Arabidopsis thaliana: one gene and its partners. Each later gene encodes a partner of the first gene's protein in a complex. Each region holds a gene or a part of one and is shown in the gene's direction. Other genes may lie near its edges. The genes, in order: arpc2b, ARPC1A, ARP2 and ARPC1B.

Region 1 (4,731 bases):
TTCATAAACCCTAAGCTCCCTAACCATTAACCTCAATTTCGCTTCAGTATTCAGGGGTTTGAATTTGATCCTGATACAAAACAAAAGATAAATATGAATCTAACAAACCCTAATCACAAAATCTGAAAATTTGTGAATTCTAATATATCAAAGTCAACGCTTGGATCATGAATCAAGATCAGGATACGAAATCAGAAAACTGGAAATGAGAAAAAGCATTACTTACGTAGTAAAATGGCTGCGTTTTCTCTCGATTAGACGAACGAAAAAATCTCAAATTTTCTCGAGGAAAAAAATCAAAACTTTGACAACGATTAACACAAACAACAAACACCCATATCGAATTTCAACAATAATCGAATCCAACAATCCAGGGAAACCTCGAATTTCCCAAAATTTTGTTCTGATCCGATAACGAGAAAAAAAGAAAAGGGAAAGTGAAGGATTGAAATCTGAGAGACGCGTTTCTCTCAGCTGAGTTCTGATTGGGTGTCGAGAAAGTGTGCGAAAAGAAAATTCGTTAAATAAGGAATTAACGGCTAAGATCAAACTTGAGATATTTTTGTAGATGAGATTAAAACTTGTTTTGGCACACGGTAGGTAATCTCGTTATGAGATTATACTTCGGCCGTTGACTAATCATTTTTAATTAGCAAACTTGCAACTTTTTAATTACTTGTTTTTTTGGTTAAACAACAATATTTTAATTAAACAACTTGTTGAGCTTTTATGTGTTCTATAATTTAATAAGCTTTGAATTTTTCATGTTGACAAATTCAATATAGACTTCTAGATTTATAATTGATAATAAATTAAATTGATAGAGGTCTAGTTATCTTAGCATATGTATAGTTTTATGTGACTAAGATTACTTTTATAGTTTTAAATTATATAACAAATCAGGGTATTTTACAAGTTGTATTATCAAAATGAATCTATATAAATAAAACATGAATTTATATATTGATGGTCATCATAACAAAGACACATTTTGCTAAAAGATTTTATTTTCCTGTTTCATAAAAAAATAATATTAATAAATAAGTTATAAATTCATGTCAGATAATATGGTTTTACAATGACCATTCTTTTACCCTAAGTAAACCTCACGTCCACACTGAATAGAAAGAAGAATTGTGACTTAGTATGTGGGGTAAACTAATAACTATATGTTGGTGAAGTCAATAATAGCTTGCGATTTGTGTGAAACCGACGCTTAATGTTCATTGGATTAGCTTGGATTACATTCCAAGTATTGCTTTTTTAATGATAAGATTAATGTCCACATAATGACAATAGAAAAACAATCATTTATGTTTCTAACAGTAGAATTTTGCCTTTGAGGTTGAATAAAGATCAGGGAAAAAATATATGAAAATCTCATTTTCCATGGTTTCGATATTTTAGATGTAATCTAAGTTTTTGGAAAAAACACATTCTACCTCTGTCAAATTCCTTCTGTGTCATCACGGGACCGTGCGAATCGGCGTCCATCGGATCCCACAGCTTTAGTCCGAAGGCTGAGAAAGCATTAAAACTCTTTATCAACGGGCCTATGTTTATATTCGGCTCACAGGTACATCCACATGTTACGTTTCAGTGGCAGATACAATAGCTAAAATGTTTTCTTAGAAAGAAAGATAAAAAAATGATTGCAAATTTAAACTGACATTTTACTCAACATCCAACAATTCACCAATGCACGAAAGAAAAAGCGCACTTATTAGGCTCTCACACAGATATATGTGCAATGCACACATAAAAAGTTATAGATTGATGACATTGTAAATTATAATTATTGTACCCTCAAGTTTCTTCCGAGGTGTTTCAAGAATGGCATATCTCGAAAGAGCCTCTCCAACGTTGAAAGAAACACTCCTCAAGATATACCGGTAAGCCACACTCTCTCTTTTATTCTCTGGTCCAATTTCATTCCCGGTTTAGCTACCTCCGTACCTAACAATATTTTCCGGCTTAACTTCAATCAAGATTATTTGAAATGATTTTGTTAGTATGGTTAGTAAACATTAATTTCCAACTAAAAATCAATTGGCAATAAGTTCATATCCAATGCCAATGTGAGACATTATAACATAAGGTTATTGAATCCATGGCAGTGCTGAAAAACCTATTGAGGTCGATCAACATTTCCATGAGTTTGGTTCGATTGAATACCATATCAAGGTATATTTTTGGGGCTTCCTTTTTTTAATAATAATCTTCTTTCTTATTCGATTATATGTGCTCTTACAAAATGAAATATATATGATTTGGACATGCAGTACTCGGTTTCGGATCCAAATATTGTGCATGTATCGACGTCGACGTTGCTTGAGACACAAGGAGCAGTGACATTGAAGGAGATTTCAAGTTACACTTATGAGGTGATTAAGAATATTGGAGTTGGTGTGATTGACATCGTTGATCCACCAAGATTAGGGTTTCAATTGACCCTTGGCCTAAACCTTGATAATATACCACGTGGCAAAGGTAAGCTTCAATATTGAAATGTACTTTTTCCCGCTACTTAGTTATTATAAGTTTTTTTCATATTTACTCATTCAAATGCAGAAGCGATTAAAATCATTACAAGGATTTCTGAACTACAAGCGATAATATTAAGTAGCCAACTAAAAGAGATGCTGAGAAGTTTAAATTTTCAAGATGATTCACGATCGATCAACAACATGCCCATCAGGATTGTTTATCACCCAAGTGAACCTTTCTACGTCTTTAAACAGGTTTATTTTACCGCGTTTTATTCGTTTATCTGAGTTACATCCAACTAAATATAATAATGGATAGAGACCAACGTCTAAAATTTATCGAATAACTATAACTATAAGAATAAGTCTTTGAATGTTTTTTCAGCCGGAAAAAATCACGGCCGTGTTTCCGATGAATTTTAAAGACAATTCGGATGTGGTCATCGCCACGTCATTCTTCCAGGTACAACTAAAATGCATACAATCAATGGGTGGGACTAGAGTTTTGCATTGAGACGTCACTAAGGTTTCCTTTGTCAAATTTTATCTTTTTATGTTAAAAACAAATTGGACAATACATATAAAAAGGAACTAGTTGAAGTGGGAAGCCAAAAGGATATGGGAAAAGCCCCACAATGTAGTTGGTCGCCAATTCCTCCTCTCCAACTTAGAGGAGAACCGGTTCAAGACTTGACCACCAATTCTGGTTTTGTATCATTTGGTACGTTTTGTGTCATTTTATCTGTTTATAAAACTTAATCCAACATCTTTAATTAGTATTCTTAAATGTCAAAGTTCAAACAATTCTCATTGCAGATATTACTTCACGGCACATTGAAGGAAAGAGACTGGACAAAACGGTTTGGAACTTGCTAAATTTCTACGCATGCGCTAAGTACCATATTAAGGTACATTAGTTCTAGTTTTTCAAATAAAATATAATAGATTTTGTGTTCTTGTAATTGAAAATTTTCAACCTCGTATTGTTTAAATAGTGCTCGAGAGGGTACATACAGAGACGGATGAGAAAAAGAATGGAAACTTTAGTTAAGGTATTTTTATCATATATTACGTACACACACGAATCTACAACAATAGTTGACATTTCATAAACAAAATAACGTATGTTTGTAAATTTACATTATATACGTAGCTGCTAAATAACACAAGCCTAGAAGAAGAAGCTGCTCAAAATGGTATCCTTTTTTTTTGTTACCTTTAACCTTACTTAGGTTTGTATATATAAAAAAGTTATATTATCATTTTTTCTTTTCCATTCTCTAATTTCTATATAGAAAACGGAAGATGCAAATACGTAAAGGAGTTTGTGAAGGTACCAAAAGGTAAATTGATGATGAAACAAAGATGCAAGGAGATGACAAGGAGAGTGAAGATAAGCAAGTTCCGGATCAAAATCAACGGTTGTGCTCGGTTTCGATTCAATCAGCGGTGGATATCTCTCCCCAAATTCTCTTCGAAACCATCAGATAAATCATACACAAAATTGGACTAAGTAATCACTTAACTTGGAAAGTCTCAAGAAAGAGGCTCGGTGTTGTTGTTTTTTTTCTTTGTCAACATGCTTTAAAATTGAATTCGGGGAGCAATATTATACGTTAATGAATATCTTGACAACAAAAAAAAACGTTATCAGATAAACTTATGGATATAATTTGGTAAACCAAAAATAAACCTAATCAAAAGTTGGCATTGAATGCAGCATGTTACGTAAGAGCTTTGTACAAGTACCATTCACTCTTTTTACTTTTCAATGTATACAATCATCATGTGATAAAAAAAAAAATGTAACCAATCAACACACTGAGATACGGCCAAAAAATGGTAATACATAAATGTTTGTAGGTTTTGTAATTTAAATACTTTAGTTAAGTTATGATTTTATTATTTTTGCTTATCACTTATACGAAATCATCAATCTATTGGTATCTCTTAATCCCGCTTTTTAATTTCCACCGCACACGCAAATCAGCAAATGGTTCCAGCCACGTGCATGTGACCACATATTGTGGTCACAGTACTCGTCCTTTTTTTTTCTTTTGTAATCAATAAATTTCAATCCTAAAACTTCACACATTGAGCACGTCGGCAACGTTAGCTCCTAAATCATAACGAGCAAAAAAGTTCAAATTAGGGTATATGATCAATTGATCATCACTACATGTCTACATAATTAATATGTATTCAACCGGTCGGTTTGTTGATACTCATAGTTAAGTATATATGT
Region 2 (6,287 bases), 1.0 Mb from region 1:
ATGAATGGTGCAGATTCAACGGCTTAGATTTTCTGGGAAGGATAATGAAAGGGAAGAAACTGATGTTCGTAGGAGATTCACTGAGTCTAAACCAATGGCAATCTCTCACGTGTTTGCTCCACAACGCCGCACCAAAAGCCAATTCCACATCCACACGTTCCCCTTCTGGCCTCTCCGTCTTCTCATTCCCCGTAACGTTTTCTAACTTTATCAAACTCGTTCCGGTATTGATCCGGTTTAATAATTCTGGTTCGGTTCGTATTTAAATGCATGCAATGCAGGCTTACAATTCTTCGATTATGTTTTCAAGAAACGCGTTTCTTGTGGATATAGTCGGAGCCCCACCGAAGCGAGTGATGAAGCTTGACTCAATCTCGAGTGGTTCGTTGTGGAAAACCGCAGACGTTTTGGTCTTCAACTCTTGGCATTGGTGGCTTCACACAGACCGAAAACAACCGTAAAATCATCTTTATGTCGTCAAACATATTTTGCTATGGACTATGGACTTATTAGTATCTAACTAATGTAATCATTTGGGGTTGCAGATGGGACGCAATTATGTCCGGGAATGTAACGGTTAAAGACATGGACCGGTTAGTGGCATATGAGAAAGCAATGATGACTTGGGCTAAGTGGATTGATCAAAATATTGATCCTTCCAAAACCAAAGTCTTCTTCCAAGGTATTTCTCCGGACCATGGCCGGTAAGTTCTACCTCTATATAACTTCTTTTTTATTCGATACATACATTAAATCAACGATAAAAACTTAACACGATTGATATATGTTGGATTAGTCTATAAGTTTTCGTTAGAACCAAATAATTTCATGTTGATATTGTTAACAATAATGGTACATAATGTTACAGGGCAAGGGAATGGTCGAAACAAGGTGGCAAAGGCAGTTGCATAGGAGAAACAAAGCCGATTATGGGATCGAGTTACCTGGCTGGGCCGCACGCAGCCGAGATGGTGGTGGCGAAAGTGATAAAGACGATGAAGAATCAGGCGCGGTTAATGGATGTGACATTGATGTCTCAGCTAAGGAAAGATGGACATCCTTCAGTATACGGTTTTGGCGGTCACAGAATGGCGGATTGTAGCCATTGGTGTCTCTCTGGAGTCCCGGATAGCTGGAACCAGCTCTTGTATTCTGAGCTGTTTCATTCTTAAAATTTTGATGGTTTTGACACAAAACTAAATTCATTATATGATTTATACATTTATTTATGACCTAACCATGTTTGTGTTGTTTTACACATTTATTTTATGTCATAAACATGTTTATTTAGAATTTCAAATTCATTTGTCAACCAAAATGTTTAAATGAGAACAAGATTCTTTGACTGGTCGAACAATTTATAAGAGAAGAATTTGCAAGAATATAACCTTATGATCTCGTTATAATTGAATGGACTAAATATGTGTCCTGAATCTCTAAGTGAGAGATTAGAGGAAGACCAAAACTAGAAGTAAACCTTATTCCACGAGAGGGGATAACTAGCGTAGCTTATATAATAACTTTGTACAATGATTTGGGGTTAAGTTATTTTTGGATTATGCTAAATCAAAATCTAATATAGTGGTGCAAGCCCCTTGACTTGGGTCAATGATTCAAAAGCTTATACAAAAAAAAAAACGAAAAAACTAATAGTAAAACATTACTTTAGAAAAAAGTTACTAATCAATATTTTTTTAAAAATTTCAGATTACTTTATAAGTTACTCTATACTCATAGACTCATAGTGAGATATAGTTCTATTTTTACATGGATGAATTGGATCGAATCCATTTATCTACATTAATGTATTTAACTAATGCAGAACTTAAGCCTTTTATCGGAAAAAACAAAAACAAAACTAATGCAGATTACAGAACTATAGATTTAAAAATAAAAATAATTCGATTTTTTCCTTATTATTATGCTGGTTTGCCCAAAAATAAAGGTCCAAGTAAAACTGAAATTGATCTGGTCATAAAAATTGGGGCTTTAGTAAAAAAAAAAAAAAAAAAAAAAACATCTGTCTCTTTCACTTCACGTTTGCGACTGTGTCGTCGTCCACCTCCGGATCTCATCGGCGTTTCATCATAATTATCTGTCCATCTATTCACCGTACGACTCCGTTTTAGGAATCTGTGGATGTCAATTTGAGAGAAAAGACTGTCTTCATTACAACACATTTGGGACAACAAGGATCACTCATGGCAGTGGTGGATGTTCATCGTTTCGCTGAGTCAATCACTTGCCATGCTTGGAGTCCTGATCTCTCCAGTATGTTTCTAACACCTCTCTGATTTTGTGATTCTCTTCTTTCTCTCTTCCGTCGTTTTTTCCGTTTTAGAATTATAAATGAGGAGGATCTATCTATAGTTAGTTTGGCTGGGAAGATAGATAGATGATACAACTAAATTGACTTGTGTTATTCTTATACATCTTGGTAATCAAATTTCTTCGAGTCAATGTTTTATATGTCTGTTTGTCGGTGTCTCTTGTTAGGAACACTTGGTATCTAGTATTGTACATTAGTAGATGCGCTTTTCTAAACAGATGAACCAAATCTATTGTTACAAATGATTTAACGTCTGTACTAAAGCCTGTAACCATTTATGTGCTTTGACATTTGTTTCGTTTTTCTTGGTAGTGGTTGCTCTCTGTCCTAACAACACTGAAGTTCATATCTATAAATCATTGTCTCAAGACCACTGGGAGAGGTTACATGTCCTCCAAAAGGTGAAACCTTTCTCTCTCCCTCTCTTTCTGTAACTTTTGAACTTGCATTCCTTTTGCTTTCTCTTCTTGGGAATTCCTTACTTTCGTATATTTATGTATTCTCATTTCACTGATCACTTGTCGCTGATAAGTGTTGTATAGACAGCTTGAATCTCCCTTACAACAACTTCATGATTATTGTTCGTCTTGTTGCAGCATGACCAAATTGTTTCTGGAATAGATTGGAGCTCAAAGTCCAACAAAATCGTCACTGTTTCTCATGACAGGAACTCGTAAGTTGCTACCTTTGATATACTTTGAGAAACTCCAAACCTGTTAATCTTAGTCCTTCACTTTTTTTCGTTCGTTGAACTGAGTTTAGAATGCTTCTTGAAGGTACGTCTGGAGCCTGGAAGGAGCTGAATGGGTACCAACTCTCGTTATTCTTAGACTAAATCGTGCTGCACTTTGTGTCCAATGGAGCCCCAAAGGTAAATGTTTAATTTTTCTGGTTCTTAAGCTTAATTTCCGTAATATGTAGTGTAATTTTCCTATAATTTCTACAGCTTCTAATCTATGTTCTCATCTTTTTGCTCAATACCCATAGAGAACAAGTTTGCTGTTGGAAGTGGTGCTAAAACTGTTTGTATTTGCTATTATGAGCAAGAGAATAACTGGTATTTTCTTCTTCTGCTCCTAATTCTCATTATTAGTCCTTGATTTTTTCTTTGGCAAGTTTCCTGACTTCTTTGCTACGAATGGTGTTGTTGGTCTATGTAATGATATTATTTTGTCTTATGTACTGGCATGATATTAGCACCAATCATATTTTTTATTATCTTGGCATGCATAACTGTGTATTGTTTAGAGATTTTAGAAAGATACTTTCATGTAAACTTTTAGTATCTGACATTGCTTGGCTTTACTGTTTTCAGGTGGGTCAGTAAGCTAATCCGGAAAAGGCACGAATCTTCAGTCACATCTGTTGCTTGGCATCCTAATAATGTACGTGCAATCAACAGAACCTCTTGTAGTTCATGTAGTTAAAATAATAAGCAGGCTCTCTGTAAAAGCATTCTCTACCAAAAATATTCTATAAGTTGGCCACCAGATTGAGTATAGAGTACATGATCCCTAAAAATAGAATATCAATCTCCACAAACTAGTTAATCTTCTAAATCATTTTTTCTCGTATGCTTTTTTATGTTGCTGTGCTCTCTGATTGTCTGTTATGCATTAGGTTCTTCTGGCAACGACATCAACAGATGGAAAATGTCGGGTATTTTCAACATTTATCAAAGGAGTTGACACAAAGTATGCTCATTACTTGAACGTCTACTTTTAAAACATTTTTTCAAACATGAGGCCGTTTCTTATTTGTCTTTCAATGGGCTGATACAGGGATTCAAAAGCAGGCTCACCAGCGGAAACGAAATTTGGGGAGGTTTGACTCGTTTGGCTGGCTTTCCTTCTTTTAGTAAATAGTATACCACTTCTGCCATATATATGTTCCCTCTACTCACTCTCTTATCTAATGTTAGGGAGCTTTTTTTCTGTTGAAACAGCAAATTCTTCAGCTTGATCTCTCATATTCTTGGGCATTTGGTGTTAAATGGTCTCCAAGTGGAAACACCTTAGCTTATGTAGGTCAGAATATCCTTAAAACTTAAGATGTTTGTCCATTGAGCTCTACTGGAATTATAAAAATGGAACTTCACCTTGGTTGCATAATTTTTACTACACTCCGTCTCACTTCCCTTGTTCATGCAATCTTGTTTATAGGTCATAGCTCCATGATTTACTTTGTTGATGATGTTGGTCCTTCTCCTTTAGCCCAAAGCGTTGCATTTCGAGATTTGCCTCTTCGTGATGTGGGTCAGCATCCACTCTTTTTTTTCTTTTGAGAAAGTGTTCTCATGTGTTATATCCTGAATTGATATATTATCGGGAACTTGCTATCTTCAGGTCCTGTTTATTTCTGAGAAAATGGTGATAGGCGTGGGATATGACAGCAACCCGATGGTATTTGCCTCAGATGATACTGGAATATGGTGTGTAACTCTTAGTTTTCTCTTTCTTAGCTATTTCCAGACAATCAAATACTTCAATTCATTAATTCTCCTTAGCTCTCAGGCCGGATAGTTATTTCTGAAATCATCCACACACCGATGATTGCCTTGTTTACAAGTTTTTGTTTATGGTCTGCAGGAGCTTTATCAGATACATCGGAGAGAAGAAAGCAGCATCTTCAAATTCCAGTTACAGTTCGCAGGTACATACCATGTTTTCTTTCTTGAATAAAATATGAGTGAACTTAGCTTATTCCTGAAGTGTTCCTCTAAGATAGTAGTAATCTTTCGGGTTAGTGTAGTTGCTCCTTTTTTCTCCTTGGGTTTACTACTTTGAACTTTCCACTTGCATTATTTGTACTGTTTTGTCTAATCCTTTTTTTCATTATGTTATCTTTTCAGTTTTCTGAAGCATTTGGAAAATTCTACGGCAGTCAATCAAAGTCCACAACAGCCAACGATGCTTCTGAATCACGTGGAGGTGTTCATGATAACTGCATAAAGTAATTATTTCTTAAGCTAACTTTTCTTTTACCAAATCATTTGCCAGAAACCTGCCTCATTAACTCTTTTACTTCGATTGTCTATTAAGAACCTGACATGGAAGGTTACCTGAAAATTGCAGTTCCATTGTGTCTCTGAGCAAAGCAGGGAGTCCTAAAGTAATGCGATTCAGCACTTCAGGTCAGTCACTAATACAAAATGGAATTAGCCGATTCAGTTCTCAAAAAACAAACCAGCAGTTTCATTTACTCGCATAACGGTTTGTTATTTATAGGATTGGATGGCAAAGTTGCCATATGGGATCTGGAGAACATGGAACAAGAACTTGGCAATCAGTTTTAATAAACACACAAATAAAACAATTCTGGCTCACAAGCAAGGTTTTACTTAAGTTTAAACTACTTTTTCAATTTCGTAATTGTTTCACTTTGTAAACTGCCACAATAAAAGGCCTTATTTTCTTGGTTTGTGTAAGGGCAGGTATTAATAAGTTTCTTGGCTTCATGATTTGATTCATTTAGTTAGCATCTTGTAATACCTTTTATATATAGTAATATCAGCTTTGTGTCGAAAGGAGTCCATATTGAACCAAACACAACAATTTCGCAAAATTTTCAAGTTCTTGAGAAGAAGCAAAAAGCTTTGGTCCTCCGAACTATGCCATATTTACCACAAAACGAGATATCGACAAACATTAATCTTCTATCAGATGACAGAAGTGTGATTCAGAAGACCAAATATTCTTTGAATGTTTCTCACTTATTGCAAAACAACTACTGTCCTCGTCCTAAGCAACTTCCAGAGTACCTAGTTTTTAAAGCATGAACTAGAGTTGTAACTCAGAAGCAGATATGCAGAGAAACACGACTTGGAACGATTGATTATATGTCTCCAAGATCCTTCCTTTTCGTCCCATAAGCAATATAGTTGACACTAATATCATCTGACAATAACCATCTTCCTGTTATTGGGTTGTACACAAATCCAGCTATCTCTTTCACCTGC
Region 3 (5,866 bases), on another chromosome or scaffold:
AAGGCTCAGGTCGTTAAAAGGATTGGGTTTTTTTTTGTATCTTCTGGATTTGAAAAAGCTTTTGGCTTTTGTTTTGTGATAATATTGTTGTAATTTGTACCACCATGGAGAAGAAAAAGAAAAGGTTATATACTGAGTGAGAGTGATAATCTATACTTATTGAAACCTCTGCAAAAACACAAGGTGAGTTCAATTTGAGGATGATGATACAAGAGAGTGGAATCTTCAAACCTTTTTTTCCGAGTGTTTGTGACAATTTTTTGGCAGTTGTTGTTTGAACTTGCAGGTGGAGTTTGTTGAATACACACAGCCAGAGATTTTTTTGTTTGGAGTCTTTAAGTTGCAGAGAGGCTTGTTTTTACTTGTTCTGAGTTTTGTTGCTTTTGAATATCAAGAAACCGGCTTTTTTCAGATAGTACAACAATGGTAATGTATACTTGTCTTCCATCACATATTTGTAGAATGAAGATTTATAGCTCTCTTTTGCTCAGTATTCTTCTATTGCATCTCCAAAGATTGTTCTCTTTCGTTCGATCTCTCTGAATGAGTTAAAGACTTTCGTTTAGAGTCGAGTGTAAAACACTTCGCTGCATGTTCTGATTCAGTGGCTTTGAGCTGCAATGGATTTCACAATGATGGTAACGTTGTATTCTTTAACTCTTACTTACATTCATGTTATTGCCCTGAGTGTGCCGTTAACTGTGGGAAGGTTTTGAACTAGGTACAAACCCTTCGCAGTTGGGAACCAAATAAGCTGGTATTGCATTTACTCTTTGCCTTGCAAGCTTTTTCAAAGATAAGTATAAATTGTTCAACGAGTCAAAAAGTTTATATCATTTTACTCATTTTGACTTGAATTTGACGGAACTAAGGAAAGAGACTAAGAGAGAGAGAGAGAGAGAGGTTAACGAGTCAAAAAGTTGCTTGATCTCTATGATTTGTCCAACCAATCAAAACAAGTGAAGAAAATTCAAAAACATTCACAAAGCTCTCTCTTTCCCTTTTGAGCAATGATCTAACTCAACACTATGGTCCAAATACAACTCCAATAGATCCATTCCAAAGCCTCCCTCATGATGAGAGCGTGACTTAAGTTGCTTACTCTTTTAATTTCCATTCTCTTCGACACATTGGGCAAGGAGCTTGACTTGTCTACGAATTCTTCCATTTCAATATACAGAAGTGAAGATGAAACGCGTGGTTACTTTGAGGTCTAAGACATGCAGTTTTGTTCTTACCAGAACTAAATAAAGCAGCTTAGCAATGTTCCAGTAAGCATGAGAGACAGTGTGTGTCCTAATTAACCTATATAAAAGTGAAAACATGAAAGCTGATTTTACATCGAACAAGTCATTGGACTTGTGTGTGTGAAACTGTAAAAGTCTTATCTTATTTTTACTATATTGGTGACTGATACATAACATGTTGTGACAGGAACTTAATTTACAACATGTTATGTAGAATAAATTTTAGTATTGAGACAACATAGAGACAACAAAAAAACCTAGAAGAAGATTGATATCCCAACTTCGTACCAAAACCCTAGTAACATCTTTCTCGTAACATAACCCTAATAGTGATTGAAATCTCTGATCAAGGGATTGCATGATGATCATTTACTAATTCTTAGTTTAGATCATCTAGAAGATTGTTATACAAGTAAACAGAATTATCTGTTTGACCTAATATGGGCCTGAGATAGCCCATCAATACCCACAACCAAGTTAACTCCATCTCAATAATTCGAGAAAAGGGGTAACGTATTTAATAATTTTTTCTATGTATTGACCGTTTGCACTACGTGACGTTTTCACGTAGAGTAAACGACGCGCATTCTTATAAAGAAACGAGGAAACAGCTGCTTTTTGTTTGTCGAAGAGCAAATATGTTTTCTCGATCGCGACCAAACAAGTAGAGAAGAGTGATTCTTCGCTTCGATTCAAAGACAGGTTTTTTCTTTTGTTCCCTGAGAGATCGAATCGAAGAAATCGAAATTTTTGTACTTCGATAAAAATCTGTAGTCTCTATAGAAATCGGAGAAGATGGACAACAAAAACGTCGTCGTTTGCGACAACGGCACCGGTGTAAGCTTCTTCTCTCTGATATCTCTTGTTTCAGACTCCGAACTTTAGTTGAATCTGATCAATCATTCCATTCCTATCTGGGTTTCGTTAAAAATCTCACTTTTGAGTTTGTTTAGGATCTAGTTGTCTTAAAGTTGCAAAATTTGAAAACTTTCATGTCTTAGCATAGTGTAAGATCGTGTTTCTATTGAAATCAAAACTAATACATGAGAAATCTCATAATGGGTTGCTTAAGTTTTGAGTTTCTTGTGATGGGAACAAATTGTGAGCCTCTTATTAAATTTTTCAGTATGTAAAATGTGGATTTGCTGGAGAGAATTTCCCAACGTCTGTTTTCCCCTGTGTCGTGGGAAGGCCATTGCTTCGGTATGAAGAATCACTCATGGAGCAACAAGTCAAGGTTTGTAGATATGTGACTTTAAATAAGCAAAACCAGATCATTGTTAGCCTTTTGAGTTTTGACTGAGCTGATATGCGTAATTCGGATTCATATACGTTTTGGTTTTGTTTCATTTTAGGATATAGTTGTTGGGGAGACTTGCTCTGAGCTCCGGCATCAATTGGATATAAATTATCCTGTCCACAATGGTATTGTGCAGAATTGGGATGATATGGAACATGTTTGGGATCATGCTTTCTATAACGAATTGAAAGTAAGTTTCTTCTCCTGCTTCTTCTTGCCATTTTTGTCTCGGTTCCATGTGTCTTGACTTACTCTTAAACCCTTTTTGTTATTAACAGATCAATCCATCTGACTGTAAGATATTGCTCACGGATCCACCTCTTAATCCGTCCAAGAATCGTGAAAAAATGGTAAGATATTATCAAGTCTTTGGTTAAGAGTTGCTTTGATGGTTGTTGGAGCAGTGATTTATTTTATGTTATAAAACAGATTGAGACAATGTTTGAGAAATACAATTTCGCTGGCGTTTTCATTCAAATCCAAGCCGTTTTGACTCTCTATGCTCAAGGTGCTTATGGAGACTATTGAAGGTTTAGATTTTCTTTCGTGTGTTTAGATAGTCACCTGTAAATAGCATTTATGTGTGCTTCCCTGATATTTTTCTTCATGTGTTGAACTCTTGGTTTCAGGTTTGCTAACTGGTTTGGTTATTGATTCTGGTGATGGTGTTACTCATGTGGTAAGCTATAAACCTCTGTAATTTTTTAGATCATATATTGCTTATAATAGAGAAGTTAACCGTCTTCGCCTCACATCTTAGGTTCCGGTGGTTGACGGCTACTCGTTCCCTCATCTTACTAAAAGAATGAATGTTGCTGGCAGACACATAACAGCATATCTCGTTGATCTACTATCTCGACGAGGGTGAGAAACTGATTCATAGACTCACATTCATTTTAATGATGTTGAGATGTTTTAAATTAGCTAAACTAAAAGACTGTTTGTTCAACAGATATGCGATGAACAAAACAGCTGACTTTGAGACGGTTAGGGAAATTAAAGAGAAGCTCTGCTATATAAGGCATGCAAAGACCTCTTCTCAGCTTTCCTCTAATATCTGTGTAGTAATGCATTACTAGAATAGGAAATAAACACAATTTGTTTTGTCTTTTTTTGCAGTTATGATTACAAGAGAGAATCTCAGCTTGGCCTTGAGACAACTATCCTTGTTAAGAATTATACTGTAAGTCTCTCTCCTGGTATGAACCTGTCAGGTGTGTGAATTTTCAAGGTTTCGATGGCAAATAGAGGCAAGAAACAGAAACTAGTGTACGTTAAGCTAATAGGAATCCAAACTCATGATCAGAACTAAATAGATAGCAGATTCTTGGCGAACTTGAGCCTGTAGAGAACTTTAAAGATTCGTGCCATCATTCCTTTGTTCTTTTTGGTAATGAAAGAATGATATTATCATCTTTTCTTTTCATGACATCGTTTCTCTGTTCTTGGGCGCTGTGTTTGGGATTTTTCATCCGATAGTCGATAAAGTTTCATACTTGTGCCAGTTGCAGCCTCTAAAGCTGATATTATCACCAAATTATTTTTTTTCCAGAGTACTAACCCGTTGTGTTTTTGAACTGTGATCAGCTTCCAGATGGGAGGGTTATCAAAGTAGGCACTGAAAGATTCCAAGCACCTGAAGCGCTTTTTACTCCGGTAAACCTTCATCGCGTCCTCTGCTAATTTCTCTTTTGGAATAGTTTCAACCCTCCAAGAATCTCGAGGCTGATCACAACCAAATATTTTTTCAGGAACTCATTGATGTTGAAGGTGATGGAATGGCAGACATGGTTTTCCGATGTATTCAAGAAATGGATATTGATAACCGCATGATGGTTCGTGTGACTCTTACGCTTGCTTGGTATTTCAAAAGAAAGATCCAACAAAACTAATCATTTATCTGTCTTAAACCCTTTGCTCTTTTTTCACAGCTCTACCAACACATAGTTTTAAGCGGAGGTAGCACCATGTACCCAGGATTACCTAGCCGGTTCGTATATTTTTTCTTCATCATAACCCAGCAAGAAGTTCCATTGTTTTATGTTTCATTGTCTTTTATTCTCTGTTTGTTTCAGTCTTGAGAAAGAAATACAGGATCGGTATCTCGACACAGTTCTAAAAGGAAACAAAGATGGCTTGAAGGTAAAAAAGATGATTCTGATAATGCCATGATCACTGTCAGTCATTAGCTCAGTTTTTAACATTTATCTTCGTTTTTCTTATCAATCAGAAACTCAGATTGCGGATCGAAGATCCACCGAGAAGGAAACACATGGTATACCTCGGAGGTGCTGTTCTTGCAGGAATCATGAAGGTAAGAGAAAAGTTCAATGCTATTCTCTCTTTTAACACGAAAGCATGAAATTTTAGTCTGTGTTATGATGTTAAGAGAATTTGGATTCGATGTTGCAGGACGCACCAGAGTTCTGGATCAATAGAGAGGACTATATGGAAGAAGGAATTAATTGTTTGAATAAAATGAGCCAAGCTTAATAACTTTCAAACGCAGAACTCATACTTGTACTTGTACCCCTTTTTTTTACTACCGTCAGGATGATTTAATTCCGTTTGTGAATTCAGTATTTTAGGTTTCAAAGTTTGAGTACAATTGGTTGCAGTTAGGGATCCAAAATTCGACATGTGATTGGTGGGATATACAGAAAAACGTGTATTAACTAATAATGTTGAGACTAATATATTGTGTAATAACCAAAGCCAAAAGGTCGAGAAGAGACGAAATGCATATATCTTAATTCTTGAGTAAGCAAACAGAGTCAAAACAGTGAAAGATTATTTGTAATTTTGAAAAGGAACCCTATTTCTTGCCACACAAGGTAGATCCCTATTGTTTTCTGTTAAAACCCAAAAGATTGCCACAACTCTGAATTGATGGAACCAGCTTCCTTCTACTGCATGTTCTGCAGCTAGTCTAAGTACAGCAGCTTCAAGCTAGATCAAAGACAAAATGATTACCTAACCTGCCATGAGTAAAAAAGGATTTGAAAACTTTTAAATTAACTAGAAACAAAAAAAACTGATTTACAATCCCAAAATAAAAAACTGTAAAAACTTTTTGAGGTCTTAATATGGGCTTTGGCCCAATAACGGCAACACCGTGTCAGAAACGTTGGTGTTGGTGACTGTTAAACTACCTCAACGACATATAAAACATTATGAGCGTTGGCCCAATAAAGAGATATAGGCCCATAAAGTTATAGAGAAATCACCCGGTGGTTCATCCAAATCTAACCACGACGAAGATTATTTCCAAACTGCTCAAACTTCTCCGGCGAGTTTTGGAGACATTATCGGAAAACGG
Region 4 (6,442 bases), 800 kb from region 1:
CCAATGACTGATCTAGGACTCCTCAAACAACCCTCATAAGCCACATTGGCCGTGCCCATCAGTCAAATGCAGATCCAATATCCCTGGAGCCAACTAAATAACCCGCATCGATCAACCATCATGGTCATAGAGCCACCGATCTAGCCAACCAAACCATCCGACCAGTAGCTACATCGTTCTGCCATATCGGTCATATTTTTTTATCGATCCTAATCACAACCCATCTGATCCAGAAGCTGCATTGATCCCAACATCGGCCAATGAAACCCAAACATTATACTTACCCTTTGCAAATCCTATTCTACTGGGAAAATAATATAGTGCTCATCTTTTAATTGATGAAACCCGAACATTGCATTTTGAGAAATAGTATGCAGTCGCAAAAGCAAAAGCAAAAGCATATTCAAATGTAGAAAGAAAATATAACATCCTTGTAATTCTTTAACTAATTAGCAATCTTCAATGATTCACATCATTTTCAACAGAGTATGAAGGAGTTAACATTGCAATGAATCTGCAAATTACTTGTACATATACATAACGCCCAACCAGGGTTAGATAGGAGAAGAGACCAAAACAACAAATGTGTGTTCTTCCATGATCTATTAAAAAGCTTCAATATATAGTAACGTGAAAAAACCTGATTGATTAGTCAACGGCTTTAGAATCATTAGAAGAAGATGCCTCACCAGATTCGGAGTGTTCATGGTTATGATCACAGTGATGGTTGTTATCATCTTCTTCTTCACTGTCATCCTCATCAAAAGGCTTCTGTTTATGAAAGATGCAACACTTCTTCGAACTCTTCTTCTGCATAAACTCATTGTCTACAGTCCCATCTTTCCATGAAACTTTCTTCTTCTTCCGGTTCAACCGAAGCACTAATCTTTCAGTAGGTTGTGATTGAGAAACAGGGTTTTCTAATATGACAGAAGTTGTTGCTGAAGAGGAAGGCCTTGTTGCTGTGCTCATAGCTGAAGATTAGCTTTCAAAATCTGCATAAAAGACTAATTTCATAAGGTACCAAAATACAAGAACAGAGAATAAAAGTTCTTAATAGTAACAACTAACAACATGCTTAAGAATGACAAGAGCTAAAGATAAAAACTAAGACCTTAAACAAAATCGTAAAACAGAACAAAGCCTTTAGGGTTCATTCTTTAGGTAAACAAACCAAACAGATGCTATTTCTCTAACCCTAAATTCATTGCCTACGAGATCTGAACCCTAATCATTCCTAATTCCAGGGGATAAACACAAATCGGTGATATGAAATTGAGAATCAAATGTTGCAGTAAACAATAGAGAGACCTAGTTTCGATCGTAGAAACAATAGCGAAACCTAAACCTAGGGGAAAAAAAGATTCAAAGAATCAAATCGACGAAGAAGCAAACCTGTGAATCCCCAAGGAGGAAGGGACGCTTGTTGAATCGAGAAACTTTTTTTTTTTTTCGTTTTGTTTTTTTTTTCTTTCGCCGATGGAGAAATTTAGTCGCTCCAACCAAAAAAAAAAAAAAAAAAAAAATTCGGTCTAATTTTATATTTATTTTCTAAGAAATGTTAATATATATATTAGAAAAAAGACTAATACAGTGTAATTAATTTTGAGAAAACTATAATGTTAACTTATTTGGGATTCGAAAACTGAATATATAGAATGACTTTATAAGTTACTCATACTCATAGTGAGGTTTAGTTCAGATTTTTACATGGATGGATTTGATTAAATCCAATTATGTATATTTAAGTATTTAACTAATGCAGAATTTAGATCTTATTTTTTTTTTTGCTTATTATTATGCTGGGCCGCCCCTAAGACAGGGCCAAGGAAAATAGAAAATGATCTGGTCATAAAAAATTGGGCTATAAGAGTAAAATAAAACACACAAACAAAAACATCCGTCTCTTTCACTTACACTTTCACTTCACGTTTGCGACTGTGTCGTCGTCAAGCTCCGGATCTCATCGGCGTTTCATCATAATTATCTGTCCATCTATTCACCGTACGACTCCGTTTTAGAAATCTGTAGATGTCAATTTGAGAGAAAAGACTGTCTTCATTACAACACATTTGGGACAACAAGGATCACTCATGGCAGTGGTGGATGTTCATCGTTTCGCTGAGTCAATCACTTGCCATGCTTGGAGTCCTGATCTCTCCAGTATGTTTCTAACACCTCTCTGATTTTGTGATTCTCTTCTTTCTCTCTTCCGTCGTTTTTCTGTTTTTAGAATTATAAATGAGGAGGATCTTTAGTTAGTTTTTCTGAATTGACTTGTGTTATTCTTATACATCTTGGTAATCAAGTTTCTTCTAAATCCCTATAATTGAGAATTTTCGAGTCAATGTTTTATATGTCTGTTTGTCGGTGTCTCTTGTTAGGAGCACTTGGTATCTAGTATTGTACATTAGTAGATGCGCTTTTCTAAACAGATGAACCAAATCTATTGTTACAAATGATTTAACGTCTGTACTAAAGCCTGTAACCATTTATGTGCTTTGACATTTGTTTCGTTTTTCTTGGTAGTGGTTGCTCTCTGTCCTAACAACACTGAAGTTCATATCTATAAATCATTGTCTCAAGACCACTGGGAGAGGTTACATGTCCTCCAAAAGGTGAAACCTTTCTCTCTCCCTCTCTTTCTGTAACTTTTGAACTTGCACTCCTTTTGCTTTCTCTTCTTGGGAATTCCTTACTTTCGTATATTTATGTATTCTCATTTCACTGATCACTTGTCGCTGATAAGTGTTGTATAGACAGCTTGAATCTCCCTTACAACAACTTCATGATTATTGTTCGTCTTGTTGCAGCATGACCAAATTGTTTCTGGAATAGATTGGAGCTCAAAGTCCAACAAAATCGTCACTGTTTCTCATGACAGGAACTCGTAAGTTGCTACCTTTGATATACTTTGAGAAACTCCAAACCTGTTAATCTTAGTCCTTCACTTTTTTTCGTTCGTTGAACTGAGTTTAGAATGCTTCTTGAAGGTACGTCTGGAGCCTGGAAGGAGCTGAATGGGTACCAACTCTCGTTATTCTTAGACTAAATCGTGCTGCACTTTGTGTCCAATGGAGCCCCAAAGGTAAATGTTTAATTTTTCTGGTTCTTAAGCTTAATTTCCGTAATATATCATGTAATTTTCCTATAATTTCTACAGCTTCTAATCTATGTTCTCATCTTTTTGCTCAATACCCATAGAGAACAAGTTTGCTGTTGGAAGTGGTGCTAAAACTGTTTGTATTTGCTATTATGAGCAAGAGAATAACTGGTATTTTCTTCTTCTGCTCCTAATTCTCATTATTAGTCCTTGATTTTTTCTTTGGCAAGTTTCCTGACTTCTTTGCTACGAATGGTGTTGTTGGTCTATGTAATGATATTATCTTGTCTTATGTACTGGCATGATATTAGCACCAATCATATTTTTTATTATCTTGGCATGCATAACTGTGTATTGTTTAGAGATTTTAGAAAGATACTTTCATGTAAACTTTTAGTATCTGACATTGCTTGGCTTTACTGTTTGCAGGTGGGTCAGTAAGCTAATCCGGAAAAGGCACGAATCTTCAGTCACATCTGTTGCTTGGCATCCTAATAATGTACGTGCAATCAACAGAACCTCTTGTAGTTCATGTAGCCAAAATATTAAGCAGGCTCTCTGTAAAAGCTTTCTCTACCAAAAATATTCTATAAGTTGGCCACCAGATTGAGTATAGAGTACATGATCCCTAAAAATAGAATATCAATCTCCACAAACTAGTTAATCTTCTAAATCATTTTTTCTCGTATGCTTTTTTATGTTGCTGTGCTCTCTGATTGTCTGTTATGCATTAGGTTCTTCTGGCAACGACATCAACAGATGGAAAATGTCGGGTATTTTCAACATTCATCAAAGGAGTTGACACAAAGTATGCTCATTACTTGAACGTCTACTTTTAAGACATTTTTTCAAACATGAGGCCATTTCTTATTTTTCTTTCAATGGGCTGATACAGGGATTCAAAAGCAGGCTCACCAGCGGAAACGAAATTTGGGGAGGTTCGACTAGTTTGGCTGGCTTTCCTTCTTTTAGTAAATATTATAATTCTTGTGCCATATATATGTTCCGTCTACTCTCTCATCTAATGTTAGGGAGTTTTTTTTTCTACTGTGGCTTTGTTGAAACAGCAAATTCTTCAGCTTGATCTCTCATATTCTTGGGCATTTGGTGTTAAATGGTCTCCAAGTGGAAACACCTTAGCATATGTAGGTCAGAAAATCCTTCAGACTTGGGATGTTTTTCCATTGCGCTCTACTGAAATAATACAATGGAACTTCAACTTGGTTGCAGTTTTTACTACCATCTGTCATACTTTGCGTGTTTATGTAATCATGTATAGGTCATAGCTCCATGATTTACTTTGTTGATGATGTTGGCCCTTCTCCTTTAGCCCAAAGCGTTGCATTCCGAGATTTGCCTCTTCGTGATGTGGGTCAGCATCCACCTTTATTTTACTTTTGAGAACCTGGTTTCTCCGGTGTGTTATGTCCTGAATTGATATATTATGGGGAAATTGCTATTTCAGGTCCTGTTTATTTCTGAGAAAATGGTGATAGGGGTTGGATATGACAGCAACCCGATGGTATTTGCTGCAGATGATACTGGAATATGGTGTGTAACTCTCAGAAATATCTGCTTAAAATTCTCTTTCTTAGGGGTTTGCATACTATCAAATTTTCAGTTCTTTTATTCCTCTTAGATCACAGGCCGGATTGTTGGTTCTGAAACGAACCACTACCAATAATTGCTTCGTTTACAAGTTTTTGTATTTGGTCTGTAGGAGCTTCATAAGATACATTGGAGAGAAGAAAGCGGCATCTTCAGGTTCCAGTTACAGTTCGCAGGTACATACCAAATCTTCTTTCTTATATTGCAATATGTCTGGTTTTAGCCTTTTAGTGAAAAAAATATGACTGAACTTTAACTTATCCCTGAGTTGTTCCTCTAAAGATCGTAATCTTTGGGGGTTAGTGTAGTTCCTCTCTTTCTTTTTTTCTTGGATTTACGATACGACTTTCCACTTGCATTATTTTGTTGTGTTGTGTCTGACACATCTGTTCATTATGTTATTTTTCAGTTTTCCGAAGCGTTTGGAAAATTCTACGGTAGTCAATCAAAGTCTACAACAGCCAACGATGCTTCTGATTCACGTGGAGGCGTTCATGATAACAGCATAACGTAATTGTTTCTTTATCTAACTTGGCTTGTACCAAATCATTTGCCAAAAAACTGTCTCTTTAGCTCTTTTACTTGATTATCTGTTAAGAGCTGACGTAGAAGTTTACCTGCAGTTCCATTGTGCCTCTGGGCAAAGGAGGGAGTCCTAAAGTTATGCGATTCAGCACTTCAGGTCAGTCACTAAATTTAAATTTATATAACCCTTCATGGAATCACCCGATTCAATTCATACAAAATGACAGGTTTCATTAGCTCGCATTTTCGGTTTATTATTTATAGGATTGGATGGCAAAATAGCCATATGGGATCTAGAGAACATGCAACAAGAACTTGGCAATCAGTTTTAATAAAATCTGGATCAGTAGTCAGCTTACTTAATTTGTATATCAGATTTTGTTTCGACTAGCCTTTTCACCTTTTTCCAATTTCGTAATTGTCACACTTGGTAAACTGCATAATAAAGGCCATGTTTTCCTGGTTTGTGTAAGGGCAGGTGTTATTAAGTTTTGAGCTATGCCCTTGTCTCTGGATCTTTGTAATATCTTGAATGCTCTATCATTTGATTCATTATACGAGTTGGTATCTTGTATATTAACATAATAACATTTTCAGCTTTGTGTCGAATGAGTTCTCCGGACAACAACCACAGAAATGAATGCTATATATCAACAAACTTGAAATGAATCTTTTCATCTGTGATGATATATACAATCCAGAATGAAGCTGACACTAGTATCATCTGACATAATCATCGGGGAATCAAAAGCTCCGCTTAATATCTGTGTAATCAAAACATGGCTTACATCAACTGAAGCACGTACGTACGGTCTTCAGGGGTTAGAAAATTTGACCACTGGTATGTCCTTTAGGAAGCTGCAAGGTGACTTTATACACAGACCAAATGTGAAACCAAGAACACATATCGGGAAAATTCCAAGTACGTGCAAATGTTTTCACTCAATTTCTGGACCACGTTCATGAAGTATATAGCATTGTTTCAGAGAACTCTTAACTCTTGATTCCCGCCCAAACTGAACTAAGTGAAAGTATTCCAGCTGCCTTAATTCACAGATTCTATCTTGATCTAGCATCTGCGGGGAACAACTCGTATTTTGCATTTGTTTACAAGCATATTGTGATCTTCGTAGCTTTCAGAAAAAGCACAACGTCTTAGAGATTGCAGACTATATAGGTAAATTTTTCTCCATTGGGTGTCACTGA

The links.
Region 2: arpc2b (region 1) and ARPC1A share a complex: the UniProt entries of both Arabidopsis thaliana proteins name them as parts of the arp2/3 complex.
Region 3: arpc2b (region 1) and ARP2 share a complex: the UniProt entries of both Arabidopsis thaliana proteins name them as parts of the arp2/3 complex.
Region 4: arpc2b (region 1) and ARPC1B share a complex: the UniProt entries of both Arabidopsis thaliana proteins name them as parts of the arp2/3 complex.

What each region holds. Positions count from the first base shown.
Region 1 is NC_003071.7:14,146,872-14,151,602, reverse strand, and holds arpc2b (actin-related protein C2B), read left to right. Parts: upstream 1-1,700; 5' UTR 1,701-1,833; coding exon 1,834-1,892; intron 1,893-2,117; coding exon 2,118-2,184; intron 2,185-2,282; coding exon 2,283-2,490; intron 2,491-2,571; coding exon 2,572-2,741; intron 2,742-2,871; coding exon 2,872-2,949; intron 2,950-3,074; coding exon 3,075-3,207; intron 3,208-3,302; coding exon 3,303-3,394; intron 3,395-3,481; coding exon 3,482-3,538; coding exon of another isoform or gene 3,539-3,598; exon of another isoform or gene 3,599-3,639; coding exon 3,640-3,682; coding exon of another isoform or gene 3,683-3,708; exon of another isoform or gene 3,709-3,781; coding exon 3,782-3,999; 3' UTR 4,000-4,221; downstream 4,222-4,731. UniProt on the Arabidopsis thaliana protein: Functions as actin-binding component of the Arp2/3 complex which is involved in regulation of actin polymerization and together with an activating nucleation-promoting factor (NPF) mediates the formation of branched actin networks.
Region 2 is NC_003071.7:13,151,246-13,157,532, forward strand, and holds ARPC1A (actin-related protein C1A), read left to right. Parts: upstream 1-1,543; 5' UTR 1,544-1,652; intron 1,653-1,927; exon of another isoform or gene 1,928-1,993; 5' UTR 1,994-2,201; coding exon 2,202-2,271; intron 2,272-2,641; coding exon 2,642-2,730; intron 2,731-2,925; coding exon 2,926-3,002; intron 3,003-3,105; coding exon 3,106-3,200; intron 3,201-3,316; coding exon 3,317-3,386; intron 3,387-3,644; coding exon 3,645-3,714; intron 3,715-3,949; coding exon 3,950-4,023; coding exon of another isoform or gene 4,024-4,042; intron 4,043-4,110; coding exon 4,111-4,153; intron 4,154-4,250; coding exon of another isoform or gene 4,251-4,274; coding exon 4,275-4,356; intron 4,357-4,491; coding exon 4,492-4,580; intron 4,581-4,674; coding exon 4,675-4,760; intron 4,761-4,917; coding exon 4,918-4,981; intron 4,982-5,180; coding exon 5,181-5,281; intron 5,282-5,403; coding exon 5,404-5,462; intron 5,463-5,556; coding exon 5,557-5,624; 3' UTR 5,625-5,787; downstream 5,788-6,287. Other genes in the region: TBL43 (TRICHOME BIREFRINGENCE-LIKE 43), read left to right, coding at 14-191, 282-457, 546-704, 869-1,172; COQ3 (coenzyme Q 3), read right to left, coding at 6,164-6,283. UniProt on the Arabidopsis thaliana protein: Functions as a component of the Arp2/3 complex which is involved in regulation of actin polymerization and together with an activating nucleation-promoting factor (NPF) mediates the formation of branched actin networks.
Region 3 is NC_003074.8:9,951,961-9,957,826, reverse strand, and holds ARP2 (actin related protein 2), read left to right. Parts: upstream 1-1,844; 5' UTR 1,845-2,042; coding exon 2,043-2,084; intron 2,085-2,373; coding exon 2,374-2,484; intron 2,485-2,602; coding exon 2,603-2,737; intron 2,738-2,825; coding exon 2,826-2,897; intron 2,898-2,976; coding exon 2,977-3,055; intron 3,056-3,176; coding exon 3,177-3,226; intron 3,227-3,307; coding exon 3,308-3,411; intron 3,412-3,499; coding exon 3,500-3,568; intron 3,569-3,666; coding exon 3,667-3,730; intron 3,731-4,134; coding exon 4,135-4,203; intron 4,204-4,298; coding exon 4,299-4,382; intron 4,383-4,478; coding exon 4,479-4,537; intron 4,538-4,622; coding exon 4,623-4,689; intron 4,690-4,777; coding exon 4,778-4,861; intron 4,862-4,959; coding exon 4,960-5,040; 3' UTR 5,041-5,348; downstream 5,349-5,866. Other genes in the region: TCP20 (TEOSINTE BRANCHED 1, cycloidea, PCF (TCP)-domain family protein 20), read left to right, coding at 1-17. UniProt on the Arabidopsis thaliana protein: Functions as ATP-binding component of the Arp2/3 complex which is involved in regulation of actin polymerization and together with an activating nucleation-promoting factor (NPF) mediates the formation of branched actin networks.
Region 4 is NC_003071.7:13,345,439-13,351,880, reverse strand, and holds ARPC1B (actin-related protein C1B), read left to right. Parts: upstream 1-1,881; 5' UTR 1,882-2,093; coding exon 2,094-2,163; intron 2,164-2,529; coding exon 2,530-2,618; intron 2,619-2,813; coding exon 2,814-2,890; intron 2,891-2,993; coding exon 2,994-3,088; intron 3,089-3,204; coding exon 3,205-3,274; intron 3,275-3,532; coding exon 3,533-3,602; intron 3,603-3,837; coding exon 3,838-3,911; intron 3,912-3,998; coding exon 3,999-4,041; intron 4,042-4,170; coding exon 4,171-4,252; intron 4,253-4,382; coding exon 4,383-4,471; intron 4,472-4,568; coding exon 4,569-4,654; intron 4,655-4,823; coding exon 4,824-4,887; intron 4,888-5,120; coding exon 5,121-5,221; intron 5,222-5,334; coding exon 5,335-5,393; intron 5,394-5,500; coding exon of another isoform or gene 5,501-5,568; exon of another isoform or gene 5,569-5,833; coding exon 5,834-5,904; downstream 5,905-6,442. Other genes in the region: INH3 (inhibitor-3), read right to left, coding at 649-972. UniProt on the Arabidopsis thaliana protein: Functions as a component of the Arp2/3 complex which is involved in regulation of actin polymerization and together with an activating nucleation-promoting factor (NPF) mediates the formation of branched actin networks.